Linked DNA regions of Saccharomyces cerevisiae S288C. Changing the gene in region 1 together with any one later gene gives a genetic interaction. Each region holds a gene or a part of one and is shown in the gene's direction. Other genes may lie near its edges.

What was found. Genes that interact genetically often act in the same process or in processes that back each other up.
Region 2: mutations in TOP3 (region 1) and MMS4 are lethal when combined (synthetic lethality), as found in Saccharomyces cerevisiae (5 studies listed by BioGRID, with this or other methods).
Region 3: mutations in TOP3 (region 1) and MUS81 are lethal when combined (synthetic lethality), as found in Saccharomyces cerevisiae (6 studies listed by BioGRID, with this or other methods).

The regions. Positions count from the first base shown.
Region 1 is NC_001144.5:605,934-614,432, forward strand, and holds TOP3 (DNA topoisomerase 3), read left to right. Parts: upstream 1-3,849; coding exon 3,850-5,820; downstream 5,821-8,499. Other genes in the region: BNA5 (kynureninase), read right to left, coding at 1-1,186; EST1 (Est1p), read right to left, coding at 1,492-3,591; YLR236C (uncharacterized protein), read right to left, coding at 5,861-6,184; thiamine transporter THI7, read left to right, coding at 6,434-8,230. UniProt on the Saccharomyces cerevisiae protein: Releases the supercoiling and torsional tension of DNA introduced during the DNA replication and transcription by transiently cleaving and rejoining one strand of the DNA duplex.
Region 2 is NC_001134.8:439,934-444,090, forward strand, and holds MMS4 (Mms4p), read left to right. Parts: upstream 1-1,581; coding exon 1,582-3,657; downstream 3,658-4,157. Other genes in the region: ubiquitin-binding serine/threonine protein kinase VPS15, read left to right, coding at 1-1,382; Hsp70 nucleotide exchange factor FES1, read right to left, coding at 3,888-4,157. UniProt on the Saccharomyces cerevisiae protein: Interacts with MUS81 to form a DNA structure-specific endonuclease with substrate preference for branched DNA structures with a 5'-end at the branch nick.
Region 3 is NC_001136.10:1,244,569-1,248,482, forward strand, and holds MUS81 (Mus81p), read left to right. Parts: upstream 1-1,515; coding exon 1,516-3,414; downstream 3,415-3,914. Other genes in the region: EFT2 (elongation factor 2), read left to right, coding at 1-1,190; CIN10 (Cin10p), read right to left, coding at 3,586-3,914.

The DNA.
Region 1 (8,499 bases):
CAGAATCGAAGTAAAGTGACAATTGGGCGCCATGTTCTTCATCTGTGCTTGTTGGAGTTAATATTGTAAAAAAACATGGTAATTTCTCGATCCTTAAAGGGTGTTTGTAATACTTGGAGGCTTCCAACAGTTCCGTCATATAGTTCGTCAGCAACAACGATCTTTTACGAACTTCATTAATACCATTAAACTTCGCAAATAATTCCAATGAACTTCTCAATGCCACTGTGTCAATAACGCTTGGATTAGATTGCCTGAATCCCAATGCTCCTGGAATCGGCTCGAATACTTCCAGCATTTGAAATCGCTTAGCAGGATCATTGCCCCACCAACCAGCTAATCTTGGCAAACTTTCCTTAGCAGGGTCTGGTTTAGTATGCTTCGAGTGGACAAATAAGCCACCAATTCCACCAGGCCCGGCATTCAAGTACTTGTAAGAACACCAACAGGCAAAGTCAACACCCCAATCATGAAGTTGCAATGGGACGTTCCCTACAGCGTGTGCTAAATCCCATCCAACCAATATGTCGGGGAATTGGTGGGCAAATGAGGTGATTCGGCCAATATCGAAATATTGCCCCGTGTAATACTGAACACCTGACAAACAGACCAGCGCCAATTCATCTTGATTTACCTCTATGGTATCCAGGATATCTTGAGTTCTGATATAAGTCTCTCCCTCGCGTGGCTCGATCTGAATAAAAACATTCTCAGGTTCCGAAATTCCATGAATTTTGCACTGGTTGTAGAAAGCATAATAGTCTGATGGAAAGGAGCCCTTTTCAAAAAGGATCTTGAATCTTTTCTCAGTAGGTTTATAAAACGTAATTAACAATGAATTCAAATTTGCAGTGAGACTATTCATTACTGCAACTTCATTTTCTTGAGCACCCACGATGGGGGCTAGTAGTGGAAGAATAGGTAAGTCAATGCTGACCCAAGGCACCTTTCCTCTGGCTTCTTCAGGATGTTTGAAATGCGATTCCACAGCACAATCGCTCCACGCATCTAGCTCAGCATTAATTGAATTCCTAGTTGACTTCGGCATCAAACCTAAAGAATTCCCGCATAAGTACGTCACAGGCTTATCGTCGGACGATAGTCCCATGGATTTAAATGTAGGGATGTTGAATTCATCCCTCAGAGATTCCGGATATTCTCCGTCTAATTCCAAAGCTTTCTCCATAATTACCAGTTTGTTTCTTTTTTCCACAGAATATTTAGGCTTAATATGTACGTATTGACAGCATATATATTTGCTGTCTTGAATTTATTATGCTAATAAATAATTATGTTTTTCAAGCGCAGTCACCTATTTCCAAAGCGATGGGTTTGTCCGTGCCGTAGACGGCATCCCGTCGTTTTAATAACCGTTATAAAAACCGCCCCCATATTTTCGTGGGTTGACGACGACAGGCGTGGACGACGTTAATTGACGTCGTCATAATATATTTCATATTATGATTTTTTCCCTCACCATTACTTGTTCTCTCAAGTAGGAGTATCTGGCACTTGGACGGTGATGTCCTCATCAGCATCAATTGCTTCGTCTGGATATGAGAGAAAATCAGAGGATAGTGGGCCAGTGATAGTTTTTCTCCCTCGTGAAGCAGCATGTTTTACCAACTCAGAAGAAACGCCATCTTTTTCTGGGAGCGGAGACAATTTTTTTGTTCTCCGGACATTTGCAAATTGTTTTTCCAGTTCTGTCACAGCTATTTTCCCGGCTCTTTTGCGCTGTTGTTCATCTCTTTTGGCCTCAACTTTTCTCGAAGAGACTACTCTTTCCTGTTGTGTTTTTACATTTATTTTGGAGGAAATTTCCGATAATGCTATTTGGCGTTTTATTTTAATATTTGGGCTTATTAAATCAAACTTATATTTGCTGGCATTCCATATGACGCCGGTGTCATTTTTCTCTAAAAATTTCATGCCAGAAAATATTATTGATCTAATTCGCAGAACACATTCTTCTTTTGGAGAAAGCACTTTAGTCAATGTAGGGCATCCAATTATATTATTAATCATGTCGGGAGAATCATACACATAATCGTCATTAAAATCTGTTAGTGCAAAGTTAATGCAAGAAAATTCCCTGAAAATAATATCTTCTCTAAAAAGATAGCTTCTTTTCGGCCTGTGGCTATATATATTTCCTGAACAATTCAGTGGACTATTTATCAAGTCGTTCAGCAACAAGGCGAATGAAGTGCAAAACTTCCTGTGTCTGTGAGTGTACTGCAAAATAGATCTATATGACTTAATCCAGCACATAAGCAAACGAATAATGGCTAGATATCGAAAGTCTTCCATGTTTTTTTGCCAGGAGGGTTTGATGACGACGTCTATGATATTAGCAATAAAATCAAAGCTCAAGTCTAAAAAAAAAACCTGGCGCTCACTCAAATCTGCATATTTGAGTTTGTTCTTTTGTTCCTTACTTTTTCGAGTTGTAAACATAAGATCGAAACTTCCCATTGTGGCAGCCAAGTTTTCAAGTATAACATTAATATTACCTGAATGATACTTTAATGCAGCCATTTGTAAATGCTCTTTCAATAACCAACAATTAGAAGCACGTGATGCGTTCCATGACTGTGGAACCAAAGTGTGTTCTACTATCGATAGAAATTGCAAAACAATTTGACCTTCAAAGAATGATTTCTCACCTTTGAGATCTTTTGACACAAGAATTGCCAATTTTTTCATCAGACGTCTTCTTTCCGGAAAATCAGGAGTCAAAATGAAATCTTTCAAATTGTTTAACGCACATTTAGACGGAATCCTTACCAATGCTCCTCTTACTAATTCAAAGAAATACAGTGAGAATTTCCCAGTGATCAAGTAAATTTTCGCTCGTTGAAAATAAGTATCTCCAACGGCTGGGAGATAGAGTGAGGCAATATTCAAGTACCTAATAGACTTCTCAAAACCTTCCACACTCTTGGGTTTGTTAGACGGCTTGTTTAGTAGTGTTTTATAAAAATGTGTGGAACCTAGATTAATCACGCATCTTTGTAGTGAGATTACAATGGAAAACGTCAGTGGATTACTCGTGTTTAAGATAATTTTCTCATGAGTTGAAAGTCCATCTGTGTATTGCATTAAATTCAACTTCGCGAAGAGAGCATTTGAAATAACGGAATTCATATCGTACTTTGCGCATAGGTGTTCGATGATGTCATAGTAATACCTGTGTGTAATTTTGAAAAATTGAATCATTTTTTTTTGAAAAATTCTAAAAACTCTGAACTTTCTTCTGTTACTTAGTCGCATGATATCATGGAACCAGTGCTCAAACCATTGGAGTGTAGGTTCGTGAATTTGAAGCCATAAAAGTTTCAGAACCAATGGTATCACGGAATCATTTATGCGTTCGTAATTGTTATTATGGTACATATTTTCTTGTTTCAAAAGTAGCTCTTCGAGAAACCTAGTAGATTTGCGATGTATTCCATCCAGGAAGCATCTGAACGTGATATATGCATTTTCATCGCATGTCAACCTTGATGTTAGATGTTTATCCAGATGCGCACGAGCGTTCTTGAAAAATAATCTCATACATTCTTCGTTAACTTCTTCATTATCCATTATCTATGGTGGCATGTGTCATTTAATGGAATATACTTTTTCCCCTGATAAGTTTGCTAAAAACGGTCGGATCATACAGGCATGTTAACATTTCCATTATCCTTTTTGACATTGGATAATGGCGTGAACGCGAAAATCACATTGATAAAAAAAAGCAGTTTGGCGAATTAGTAACTGTCAATAAAGAGGGCATCGCTTTTGAAAGCACCTTCGTCTGTGCGCTCGCTTCAGCTACGTAAAGGTGTATTATAGACAATAATGAAAGTGCTATGTGTCGCAGAGAAAAATTCTATAGCGAAGGCAGTTTCACAGATCCTAGGAGGAGGCAGATCAACTTCAAGGGATTCCGGCTACATGTATGTAAAGAACTATGATTTCATGTTTAGTGGGTTCCCGTTTGCCAGAAATGGGGCTAACTGCGAAGTTACCATGACTAGTGTTGCAGGGCACCTAACAGGCATTGATTTCAGCCATGATTCGCATGGGTGGGGAAAATGCGCCATCCAAGAGTTATTTGATGCGCCACTGAACGAGATTATGAATAACAACCAAAAAAAGATAGCAAGCAACATCAAGCGAGAAGCGAGGAATGCAGACTATCTGATGATATGGACAGATTGCGACCGGGAAGGAGAGTACATCGGTTGGGAGATATGGCAGGAGGCCAAGAGAGGCAACAGGCTCATACAAAATGATCAAGTATACCGGGCAGTCTTTTCGCATCTCGAAAGACAACACATATTAAATGCAGCACGAAACCCAAGTCGATTGGATATGAAGAGTGTGCACGCTGTAGGCACGCGGATTGAAATCGATCTTCGAGCAGGTGTTACATTCACCAGACTCTTAACAGAAACGCTACGAAATAAACTGAGAAACCAAGCCACCATGACCAAGGATGGTGCAAAACACCGCGGTGGTAACAAGAACGACTCACAAGTCGTATCGTATGGTACATGCCAGTTTCCAACGCTCGGCTTTGTAGTAGACAGGTTTGAAAGAATACGAAATTTTGTTCCCGAAGAGTTCTGGTATATCCAATTGGTAGTCGAAAACAAAGACAACGGCGGAACAACAACGTTCCAGTGGGACAGGGGCCACTTGTTCGACCGGCTGAGCGTGTTAACGTTTTACGAGACATGCATCGAAACCGCCGGCAATGTTGCTCAAGTAGTAGACTTGAAATCAAAGCCAACAACGAAATACAGACCTTTACCTCTGACCACAGTGGAGCTACAAAAAAACTGCGCCCGGTACCTGCGTCTGAACGCCAAACAATCACTAGACGCAGCAGAAAAGCTATACCAAAAGGGGTTCATATCGTATCCAAGAACAGAGACTGATACTTTCCCACACGCAATGGACCTAAAATCCTTGGTCGAAAAGCAAGCTCAATTGGACCAACTCGCTGCAGGCGGCAGAACCGCCTGGGCATCGTACGCGGCATCGCTGCTCCAACCCGAAAACACAAGTAACAATAACAAGTTCAAGTTTCCACGAAGCGGCTCCCATGACGACAAAGCGCATCCACCAATCCACCCCATCGTAAGTCTGGGGCCTGAAGCAAATGTTTCGCCAGTGGAAAGAAGAGTATACGAGTACGTGGCCAGGCACTTTTTGGCATGCTGCTCAGAGGACGCCAAGGGCCAATCGATGACCCTTGTGTTGGACTGGGCCGTTGAACGTTTCTCAGCTTCAGGTCTCGTAGTCCTAGAGAGAAATTTCCTCGATGTTTACCCTTGGGCCCGATGGGAAACCACCAAGCAGTTACCGCGGCTTGAAATGAATGCCCTCGTAGACATCGCGAAGGCCGAAATGAAGGCGGGCACTACGGCGCCGCCCAAGCCGATGACTGAGAGTGAACTCATTCTCCTCATGGATACAAACGGCATTGGCACAGACGCCACCATTGCGGAGCACATAGACAAGATCCAAGTACGTAATTACGTTAGGAGCGAGAAAGTAGGCAAGGAAACCTACTTACAACCCACGACCCTGGGTGTCTCACTAGTGCACGGCTTCGAGGCCATCGGCCTCGAAGACTCCTTTGCAAAGCCCTTCCAGCGCAGAGAAATGGAGCAAGACCTCAAGAAAATCTGCGAAGGTCATGCCTCCAAGACTGATGTTGTAAAGGACATAGTCGAGAAGTATAGGAAGTACTGGCACAAGACGAATGCCTGCAAGAATACTCTCTTGCAAGTTTATGACCGTGTCAAGGCATCCATGTAAGGCGTTTTTGCCGCCCTTTGTCTTCAAAAAAGCTCTCCGCTTAATTGCATGATTCAGCTGACTGCATATGTGCATTTTCAGTACCAGCCGCAACTGCATCAAACCATGCAGAAGTCGCCGCCACAGAAGCTCCAGCGCGCCGCGTAAACGCATGTTGGAAGGCGCCCCAATTAGCATATTCACGCGCGACTACCAAACGCATAGGGAAGGTTTCAGAGAGCCGATGAGCAGCGGATGCACAGAGTACGGCCATAAGGCTGCAAAGCGCTTGGCAGGAATGGGCGTTTTCTAGAGGTTGCCTTATTGATTTATATGGAAGAGGAGAGGATTCATCGATCGGGCTTCTAAGGCAAATAGTATGCATACCTTTTTCGGGTAGTTGAAGAGAAAAGAGGAAGAGAATAGAAAAAAAAAAAAAGCGAAATTTTTACATCCTCTATTGTAATGTAATTTCTTTTTTTTTATTAGGTATATATGTGAGATACAATTCTCGAAGTCATCGGGAAGCTTTACCATTTCATTTCCTATTCCAGAACTCATATTAGCATCTATTGTTCTGAGATTCATCGCAACATCATTTAAAGGACTGTAGAGCCAATTGCATTATATCAATATGAGTTTCGGTAGTAAAGTCTCCAGGGCTTTGAGATTTTTGGAAATTCCTGTCAAAGACAGGGCATCTGTGAGTTTCTTGAAGAACCCGGATTTGCAACCTATTAAGTCGGCTAACCAAACATGGGGGTTCTGGTCTAATTTTGCATATTGGGGTGTTATGTCCTTTTCAGTGGGTACATGGATGAGTGCCTCTTCTGCACTAGGTGTTGGATTAAGTTACCCAGAAACCATTGGTACATTTATCGTCGGTGATGTGTTGACCATTATTTTCACATTGGCAAACTCGTGTCCTGGTTACGACTGGAAGGTCGGTTTCACTTTGGCCCAAAGATTCGTCTTTGGTATTTACGGTTCTGCCTTCGGTATCATCATCAGAATTTTGATGAGTATTGTCAACTACGGGTCCAACGCTTGGGTGGGAGGTCTTTGTATCAATATGATCTTGGATTCATGGTCTCACCATTATTTGCACCTGCCAAACACCTTATCTTCGAAAGTTGCCATGACCACTAAAGAATTAATTGGTTTTATCATCTTCCACGTCCTTACTGCATTCTGTTACTTAATGAAACCCTACCACATGAACTACATTTTAATTTGGTCGTGTGTTGCTACATTTTTCTCTATGTTGGGTATGGTGATCTATTTAGCTAAACAGGCTCACGGTGTTGGAGAATTGTTTACCTCCACTAAATCCACTGCCACTGGCTCCACCAAAGCTTGGGCTTGGGTTTATATGATCTCGTACTGGTTCGGTTCCGTTTCTCCAGGTTCCACCAACCAAAGTGATTACTCGAGATTTGGTTCCTCCAATTGGGCTATCTGGGCCGGTACCATCTGTGCATTGTTAATTCCAACCACTTTAATCCCAGTTTTTGGTGTTATTGGTGCCTCCACCTGTGACAAACTATACGGTGAACAATATTGGATGCCTATGGATATCTTCAACCATTGGTTGACAACTAACTATTCTGCAGGTGCTCGTGCCGGTGCGTTCTTCTGTGGTCTTTCATTTGTCCTATCTCAAATGTCCTACACCATCTCCAACTGTGGGTTTGCCAGTGGTATGGATTTGGCCGGTTTATTACCCAAGTATGTCGACATCAAGAGGGGTGCCCTTTTTGCCGCATGTGTCTCCTGGGCTTGTTTGCCATGGAACTTCTACAACTCTTCTTCTACTTTCTTGACTGTCATGAGTTCTTTCGGTGTTGTCATGACTCCTATCATTTCTGTCATGATTTGCGATAACTTCTTGATCAGAAAAAGACAATACTCCATCACTAATGCCTTTATTCTCAAGGGTGAATACTATTTCACTAAGGGTGTTAACTGGAGAGCTATTGTTGCCTGGGTTTGTGGTATGACCCCCGGTCTACCTGGTATTGCTTGGGAAGTCAATAATGACTATTTCCACAACACTGGTATTGTCAATTTCTTTTACGGTGACTCCTTCTTCTCGTTTTTGATCTCCTTTTTCGTCTATTGGGGACTATGCCTCCTCTTCCCATTCAAAATTACTGTCAAACATGATGACAAAGATTATTATGGTGCCTTTACTGACGAAGAAGCAAGAAAGAAGGGCATGGTTCCATACAGTGAAATTTCTGAAGAAGAAATCCGCGCTTACACATTAGGCGAAGGTTACACTACCGGCCACGAGTACAGACCTGAAGGCTCCGACGATGAAATACCTGAGTTGGTCAAAACTAGCTCTGAAAACACCAATGAGTTTGAAATAGTTCATCATAAGAATAATGAAAAGCAATCCTCCACCGCCAGTGAAAAAGCTGCTTAGTGGGAAATAAAATTGCAAAAAATAATTAAGAATAAAATTTCCCTTTCATTTAATGGCTCTCTGCACTAATTTTTTTACCTACGAAATTTTCCTTCGTTCACACTTAATATTAAATAACAGCTCTTTCCTAATAATAACATATACACTAGATATATAATACCAAATAAATTAAAAAAAAAGAAAAACAAAAAATAACGTAGCTTTGTTACAGTCGTAAAAAAAAGAACAATAAACCAATCTTATTGCCAGCGTCTAACTAGTCCTATTAT
Region 2 (4,157 bases), on another chromosome or scaffold:
AACCAACGTCCTATCACATGCATTCTCCAAATCATGGCTTGAAAGATAATGCAAATGTTAAACCAGAAAGGAAGGTAGTCGTCAGCAACAGCTATGAAGGCGACGTTGAAAGCATAGAAAAATTCCTATCGACTTTCAAAATTTTACCTCCTCTGAGAGATTATAAGGAGTTTGGGCCTATTCAAGAGATTGTACGGAGTCCAAACATGGGTAATTTGAGGGGCAAGTTGATAGCTACTTTGATGGAAAACGAACCCAATTCTATTACGTCTTCTGCTGTTTCTCCAGGAGAAACACCCTATTTAATAACAGGTTCAGATCAAGGTGTAATCAAGATTTGGAACCTGAAAGAGATTATCGTGGGCGAGGTTTACTCTTCTTCTTTAACTTATGACTGCTCCTCTACCGTAACTCAGATAACCATGATTCCTAACTTTGACGCGTTTGCCGTTTCCAGTAAAGATGGACAAATAATTGTATTAAAGGTTAATCATTACCAACAAGAAAGTGAAGTCAAATTTTTGAATTGCGAATGCATCAGGAAAATTAACTTGAAGAATTTTGGTAAAAATGAATACGCAGTGAGAATGAGAGCATTTGTGAATGAGGAAAAATCTCTACTAGTAGCATTGACGAATTTGTCAAGGGTTATTATATTTGATATTAGAACCCTGGAGAGGTTACAAATTATAGAGAATTCTCCAAGGCATGGTGCCGTTTCAAGCATCTGTATCGATGAAGAGTGTTGTGTCCTAATTTTGGGGACGACTAGAGGTATTATTGATATATGGGATATCCGTTTCAACGTGCTGATAAGGAGTTGGTCCTTTGGGGACCACGCACCAATCACGCATGTGGAGGTTTGTCAGTTTTATGGAAAGAATTCTGTAATTGTTGTAGGAGGTAGTTCAAAAACATTTCTAACAATATGGAATTTTGTTAAGGGGCATTGTCAGTATGCTTTCATAAATTCTGATGAACAGCCATCTATGGAGCACTTTTTACCAATTGAGAAAGGCTTAGAAGAATTAAATTTTTGTGGAATCAGGTCTTTAAACGCACTAAGCACTATCTCAGTATCTAATGATAAAATTCTTCTTACCGATGAAGCAACAAGTTCCATTGTTATGTTTAGCCTAAATGAGCTTTCTTCTTCTAAAGCAGTAATAAGTCCTTCAAGATTCAGTGACGTTTTTATTCCTACACAAGTTACGGCAAATCTCACAATGTTATTGAGAAAAATGAAACGTACTAGCACTCATTCAGTAGATGATTCTCTATATCATCATGATATTATAAATTCTATATCTACATGTGAAGTTGATGAGACACCTTTGCTGGTTGCTTGTGATAACTCAGGGCTTATTGGAATCTTCCAATAATTTTTTTTATTTTATTCAGCTTCTTTATTCTAAATGCGTATAAATTTGTATTCACCTTAAACATTTTCGATCATTTAGGAAAGGGCTTGCAACGCGTTGAAGTACCCTTTTCACGAAAAAAATGGTTGTATACGTAAATAAAGAACAATGTATGGATTATGGTATAGAATAATAGTAGTCACATATTGCAGCTAGTTAAATGAGCCAGATCGTTGATTTTGTTGAGGACAAAGATTCAAGAAACGATGCCAGTATTCAGATCATCGATGGACCCTCAAATGTTGAAATTATCGCTCTCTCGGAATCAATGGATCAAGATGAGTGCAAAAGGGCACATGTAAGCTCTGCAGAGATGATTCCATCATCACCGCAAAGAAAATCTGTTTCGAATGATGTTGAGAATGTTGACCTAAACAAATCTATCGAACTTTCTGCGCCGTTCTTCCAAGATATCAGTATAAGCAAGCTAGATGACTTTTCTACAACAGTAAATTCCATCATAGATTCGTCTCTCAGAAATGAGAATAATGCAAAAGGAAACGCGAAAAAACTTTTGGATGATCTAATAAGTGATGAATGGTCAGCTGATCTTGAGTCGAGTGGAAAGAAGCACAACAAATCACAATACAATTTGAGGGACATCGCAGAGAAATGGGGAGTACAGTCTTTAAAAAATCCAGAGCCTATTGCTGTTGACTGCGAATATAAGACACAAGGAATCGGAAAAACCAATAGTGACATTAGTGATAGTCCGAAATCACAGATAGGAGCAGCTGATATACTGTTCGATTTTCCACTGTCTCCAGTAAAACATGAGAACCCAACTGAAGAAAAGCACAATTCGATTGCTAATGAAAATTCTTCACCAGATAATAGCCTGAAACCAGCAGGAAAACAAAATCATGGTGAAGATGGGACATCCATGGCAAAAAGGGTATACAATAAAGGTGAAGACGAGCAAGAACACCTTCCGAAAGGAAAGAAGAGAACCATAGCGTTATCAAGAACACTAATCAACAGCACCAAACTACCTGATACAGTAGAACTAAATCTTTCTAAATTTCTCGATTCCTCAGATAGTATTACTACTGATGTACTTTCAACCCCTGCAAAGGGGTCTAACATAGTAAGGACAGGTAGTCAACCAATCTTTAGCAACGCTAATTGTTTTCAGGAAGCAAAACGCTCGAAAACATTAACGGCTGAGGATCCCAAATGTACTAAAAATACTGCCAGAGAGGTATCACAACTAGAGAATTATATTGCCTATGGGCAATACTATACTAGAGAAGACTCAAAAAACAAAATACGACACTTGTTAAAAGAAAACAAAAATGCTTTTAAGCGAGTTAACCAGATATATCGAGATAATATAAAAGCACGCTCTCAAATGATTATAGAGTTTTCGCCTAGCCTTCTCCAGTTATTTAAAAAAGGAGACAGTGATCTGCAACAACAATTGGCACCAGCAGTTGTGCAATCAAGCTATAACGATTCTATGCCGCTTTTAAGATTTCTTCGAAAATGTGACAGTATTTACGACTTTAGTAACGATTTCTATTACCCCTGTGATCCCAAAATAGTTGAAGAAAACGTTTTGATTCTATATTATGATGCGCAAGAATTTTTTGAACAATACACTTCACAAAAGAAAGAATTATATAGGAAGATACGATTTTTCTCAAAGAATGGAAAACATGTGATTCTTATACTAAGCGATATAAATAAACTCAAAAGAGCTATTTTCCAATTAGAAAATGAAAAGTACAAAGCTAGGGTAGAACAACGATTGTCAGGAACAGAAGAAGCTTTAAGACCGAGAAGTAAAAAATCAAGCCAAGTTGGAAAATTAGGGATAAAAAAATTTGATTTAGAGCAACGATTGCGCTTCATTGATAGAGAATGGCATGTCAAAATACATACTGTAAATTCACATATGGAGTTTATTAATTCTCTGCCGAACCTAGTGTCATTAATTGGAAAACAGCGCATGGATCCCGCAATTCGGTATATGAAATATGCTCATTTGAATGTAAAATCCGCTCAGGATAGTACAGAAACGCTAAAGAAAACCTTTCATCAGATAGGGAGAATGCCTGAAATGAAGGCGAATAATGTCGTGAGCCTATACCCCAGTTTTCAATCATTACTTGAAGATATTGAAAAGGGAAGACTGCAATCAGACAACGAAGGTAAATACTTGATGACTGAGGCAGTAGAAAAAAGATTGTACAAACTGTTTACTTGTACTGATCCAAATGATACTATTGAATGATGATCGAACGAAACTTTGTATATAAGAACATACCTTAAGGCAGTCGTTTTGAAAATCACTGCAGCTCTATTTCCCCCTCCTTACCTTTTTAATGAATTCCATTTTACAGAAAGTACTATTGATAAATATTCGTAATAAAATAAAACAGTGTTAATAATAAATGTTCGAGATTCCGGTTAAAGATAATATGAAATGGTGAATGTAATATCATTTTATTTCTACGGACGTAATCATAATACATACTTTACGGCTAAATAATCGTCTTCATTAAGTCTGTCCTTTAGAGGCTCGATATGTTTGTAACCTTCGTTCAATTTGTGCAATTCCTGTTCATTAAATTTTATTCCGGAAGATATCAGGTGAGAGAGAAAAGACAGAACTCTATCTATGATGTTCAAGTTACTCTCGTCAGACAAGCACTCAATCGTACTTTCAATTACTCCATCCTTTCTCAGCACACTGATTATATTTTCATCAATCTTAACAGATGACAAATATGC
Region 3 (3,914 bases), on another chromosome or scaffold:
ACTGTCCAGCCGGTAACATTATCGGTTTAGTCGGTATCGATCAATTCTTGTTGAAGACTGGTACTTTGACCACCAGTGAAACTGCTCACAACATGAAGGTCATGAAATTCTCTGTCTCTCCAGTTGTGCAAGTCGCTGTCGAAGTCAAGAACGCTAACGACTTACCAAAATTGGTCGAAGGTTTGAAGAGATTGTCCAAGTCTGATCCATGTGTCTTGACCTATATGTCTGAATCCGGTGAACATATCGTTGCTGGTACCGGTGAATTGCATTTGGAAATTTGTTTGCAAGATTTGGAACACGACCACGCTGGTGTTCCATTGAAGATCTCCCCACCAGTTGTCGCTTACAGAGAAACTGTTGAAAGTGAATCTTCTCAAACTGCTTTGTCCAAGTCTCCAAACAAGCATAACAGAATCTACTTGAAGGCTGAACCAATTGACGAAGAAGTCTCTTTGGCTATTGAAAACGGTATCATCAACCCAAGAGATGATTTCAAGGCCAGAGCTAGAATCATGGCTGACGACTACGGTTGGGATGTCACCGATGCCAGAAAGATCTGGTGTTTCGGTCCAGACGGTAACGGTCCAAACTTGGTTATTGACCAAACTAAGGCTGTCCAATACTTGCACGAAATCAAGGATTCCGTTGTTGCTGCTTTCCAATGGGCTACCAAGGAAGGTCCAATTTTCGGTGAAGAAATGAGATCTGTCAGAGTTAACATTTTGGATGTTACTTTACATGCCGATGCTATCCACAGAGGTGGTGGTCAAATCATCCCAACCATGAGAAGAGCTACTTACGCTGGTTTCTTGTTGGCTGATCCAAAGATCCAAGAACCAGTTTTCTTGGTCGAAATTCAATGTCCAGAACAAGCCGTCGGTGGTATCTACTCCGTCTTAAACAAGAAGAGAGGTCAAGTCGTTTCTGAAGAACAAAGACCAGGTACTCCATTGTTTACCGTCAAGGCCTACTTGCCAGTTAACGAATCTTTCGGTTTCACTGGTGAATTGAGACAAGCTACTGGTGGTCAAGCTTTCCCACAAATGGTTTTCGACCATTGGTCCACTTTAGGTTCTGACCCATTGGACCCAACCTCTAAGGCTGGTGAAATTGTTCTTGCTGCTCGTAAGAGACACGGTATGAAGGAAGAAGTTCCAGGCTGGCAAGAATATTACGACAAATTGTAAGAATGGTTAAACAATTTTTAATTATTTAACTTTTTCAGTTTTTGTCGTAATGTATTGGGCACCTTTTATGTCCTTTTGACTTTTTTGTAGTTTATTCTCACGTATACTTACCATCTATAGTGTTATTTCATATTTAATCATATTTCCATATTAGATATCTGCCTTCCCCTGTATAATAGTTACTATGATTTATCTTGCTTTGCCTATTCGCGTCATCAACTTCTTTTCTTACCGATCGCGGTAATGCCCTTTAAGAGTGGCATCAACATTGGCGTAAACAAAGTTTCAAAGGATTGATACGAACACACATTCCTAGCATGAAAGCATGGAACTCTCATCAAACTTAAAAGACCTATATATTGAATGGTTACAAGAATTAGTTGACGGATTAACCCCTAAACAAGAACAACTCAAAATAGCCTATGAAAAAGCAAAAAGGAATTTACAAAATGCTGAAGGTTCATTTTATTATCCTACAGATCTAAAGAAAGTTAAGGGAATTGGCAATACAATAATAAAGAGATTAGATACGAAATTACGGAACTATTGCAAAATTCACCACATATCTCCCGTTGAGGCTCCTTCCTTAACTCAGACAAGTAGCACCAGACCACCAAAGAGGACTACTACAGCTTTGCGTAGCATAGTAAACTCATGCGAAAATGATAAGAATGAAGCTCCCGAAGAGAAGGGAACTAAAAAGAGAAAAACTAGGAAGTATATACCCAAAAAAAGATCTGGAGGCTACGCTATCCTTCTTTCCTTACTCGAGCTTAATGCCATTCCTCGAGGCGTTAGTAAAGAGCAAATCATCGAGGTTGCAGGAAAATACAGTGACCATTGTATGACTCCAAATTTCTCCACAAAAGAATTCTACGGTGCTTGGTCGTCTATTGCTGCACTTAAAAAACATTCGTTGGTTCTTGAGGAAGGTAGACCAAAACGGTATTCGCTAACAGAGGAAGGTGTAGAACTAACAAAGAGCTTAAAGACGGCAGACGGAATCTCTTTTCCAAAAGAAAATGAAGAACCTAACGAGTATTCCGTAACCAGGAATGAAAGTAGTGAATTCACAGCAAATCTGACTGACCTCCGTGGTGAATATGGTAAGGAAGAAGAGCCCTGCGATATAAATAACACTTCATTCATGCTGGATATAACTTTTCAAGATTTGAGCACGCCGCAAAGGCTGCAGAACAATGTATTTAAAAATGATAGACTGAATAGCCAAACTAATATATCTTCTCATAAATTGGAAGAGGTCTCTGATGATCAAACAGTACCTGATTCCGCATTAAAGGCTAAAAGCACAATAAAGAGGAGAAGGTACAACGGAGTAAGTTACGAATTGTGGTGTAGTGGTGATTTCGAAGTTTTCCCAATTATTGATCACAGAGAAATAAAGTCACAATCTGATCGTGAGTTTTTTTCAAGGGCATTTGAAAGAAAAGGTATGAAGTCAGAGATAAGGCAACTCGCTTTGGGTGATATTATATGGGTTGCCAAGAATAAAAATACCGGGTTGCAGTGTGTGCTCAACACCATAGTTGAAAGAAAAAGGCTAGACGATTTAGCTTTAAGTATAAGGGATAACAGGTTTATGGAGCAAAAAAATAGGTTAGAGAAATCTGGCTGTGAACACAAATACTATCTCATTGAGGAGACTATGAGTGGCAACATTGGAAATATGAATGAGGCCCTAAAGACCGCGCTTTGGGTCATTTTAGTGTATTACAAATTCTCCATGATAAGAACTTGCAATTCGGATGAAACTGTGGAAAAGATACATGCGTTGCATACTGTAATTTCTCATCACTATTCTCAAAAAGATCTCATAGTTATATTTCCAAGTGACCTTAAAAGCAAGGACGATTATAAAAAGGTGCTTCTACAGTTTCGTCGAGAATTCGAACGAAAAGGCGGTATTGAATGCTGTCATAATCTTGAATGCTTTCAAGAACTAATGGGAAAAGGCGATCTAAAGACGGTTGGTGAGCTAACTATACATGTTTTAATGCTTGTTAAAGGTATATCTTTAGAAAAAGCAGTAGCCATCCAAGAAATATTTCCTACCCTGAATAAAATACTAATGGCATATAAAACGTGCTCCTCGGAAGAAGAGGCTAAATTGTTGATGTTTAATGTACTGGGAGATGCACCTGGTGCGAAGAAAATTACTAAATCTCTTTCAGAAAAGATATATGATGCTTTTGGTAAACTTTAGCAATTTGAAATATAGTCATCCCTGCAAGGTTTTATAAAGAAAAAAGTGATGATATTCTTTTAACTAATATATACATATATAAGAAAAGAAGCCTTAATTTCTCACGGACAAATATACCAGAAGCATATCTGAAAGCCGCCCCAATGCATTATGATGCCACTTGACAACTCATCAATGGTAGGTACGAAAGACATAATGAACATCAATTCCATTATCAAAAACCCTTCCAACCTCTTCCAGTGACAAACCTTTGACTTCTGGATACCAAAAATATACGAAAAACCAGGCACAAACTGTGAAAAAAGCAAAAATGAGCATTGTATTTTCATCACCAATGGTGTTAATAGTGCTCAGATATGTCATTGAAACAAATGCATTGGTCAACCAATTTGTGCAGGCTATACATGATGCCCCAAATGATCTCCTGTTCAAGGGGAGAAATTCCACACAGGTCCATGGAACGCTGCCCATCGCAGAAGCATATGCTGCAACATAAATTA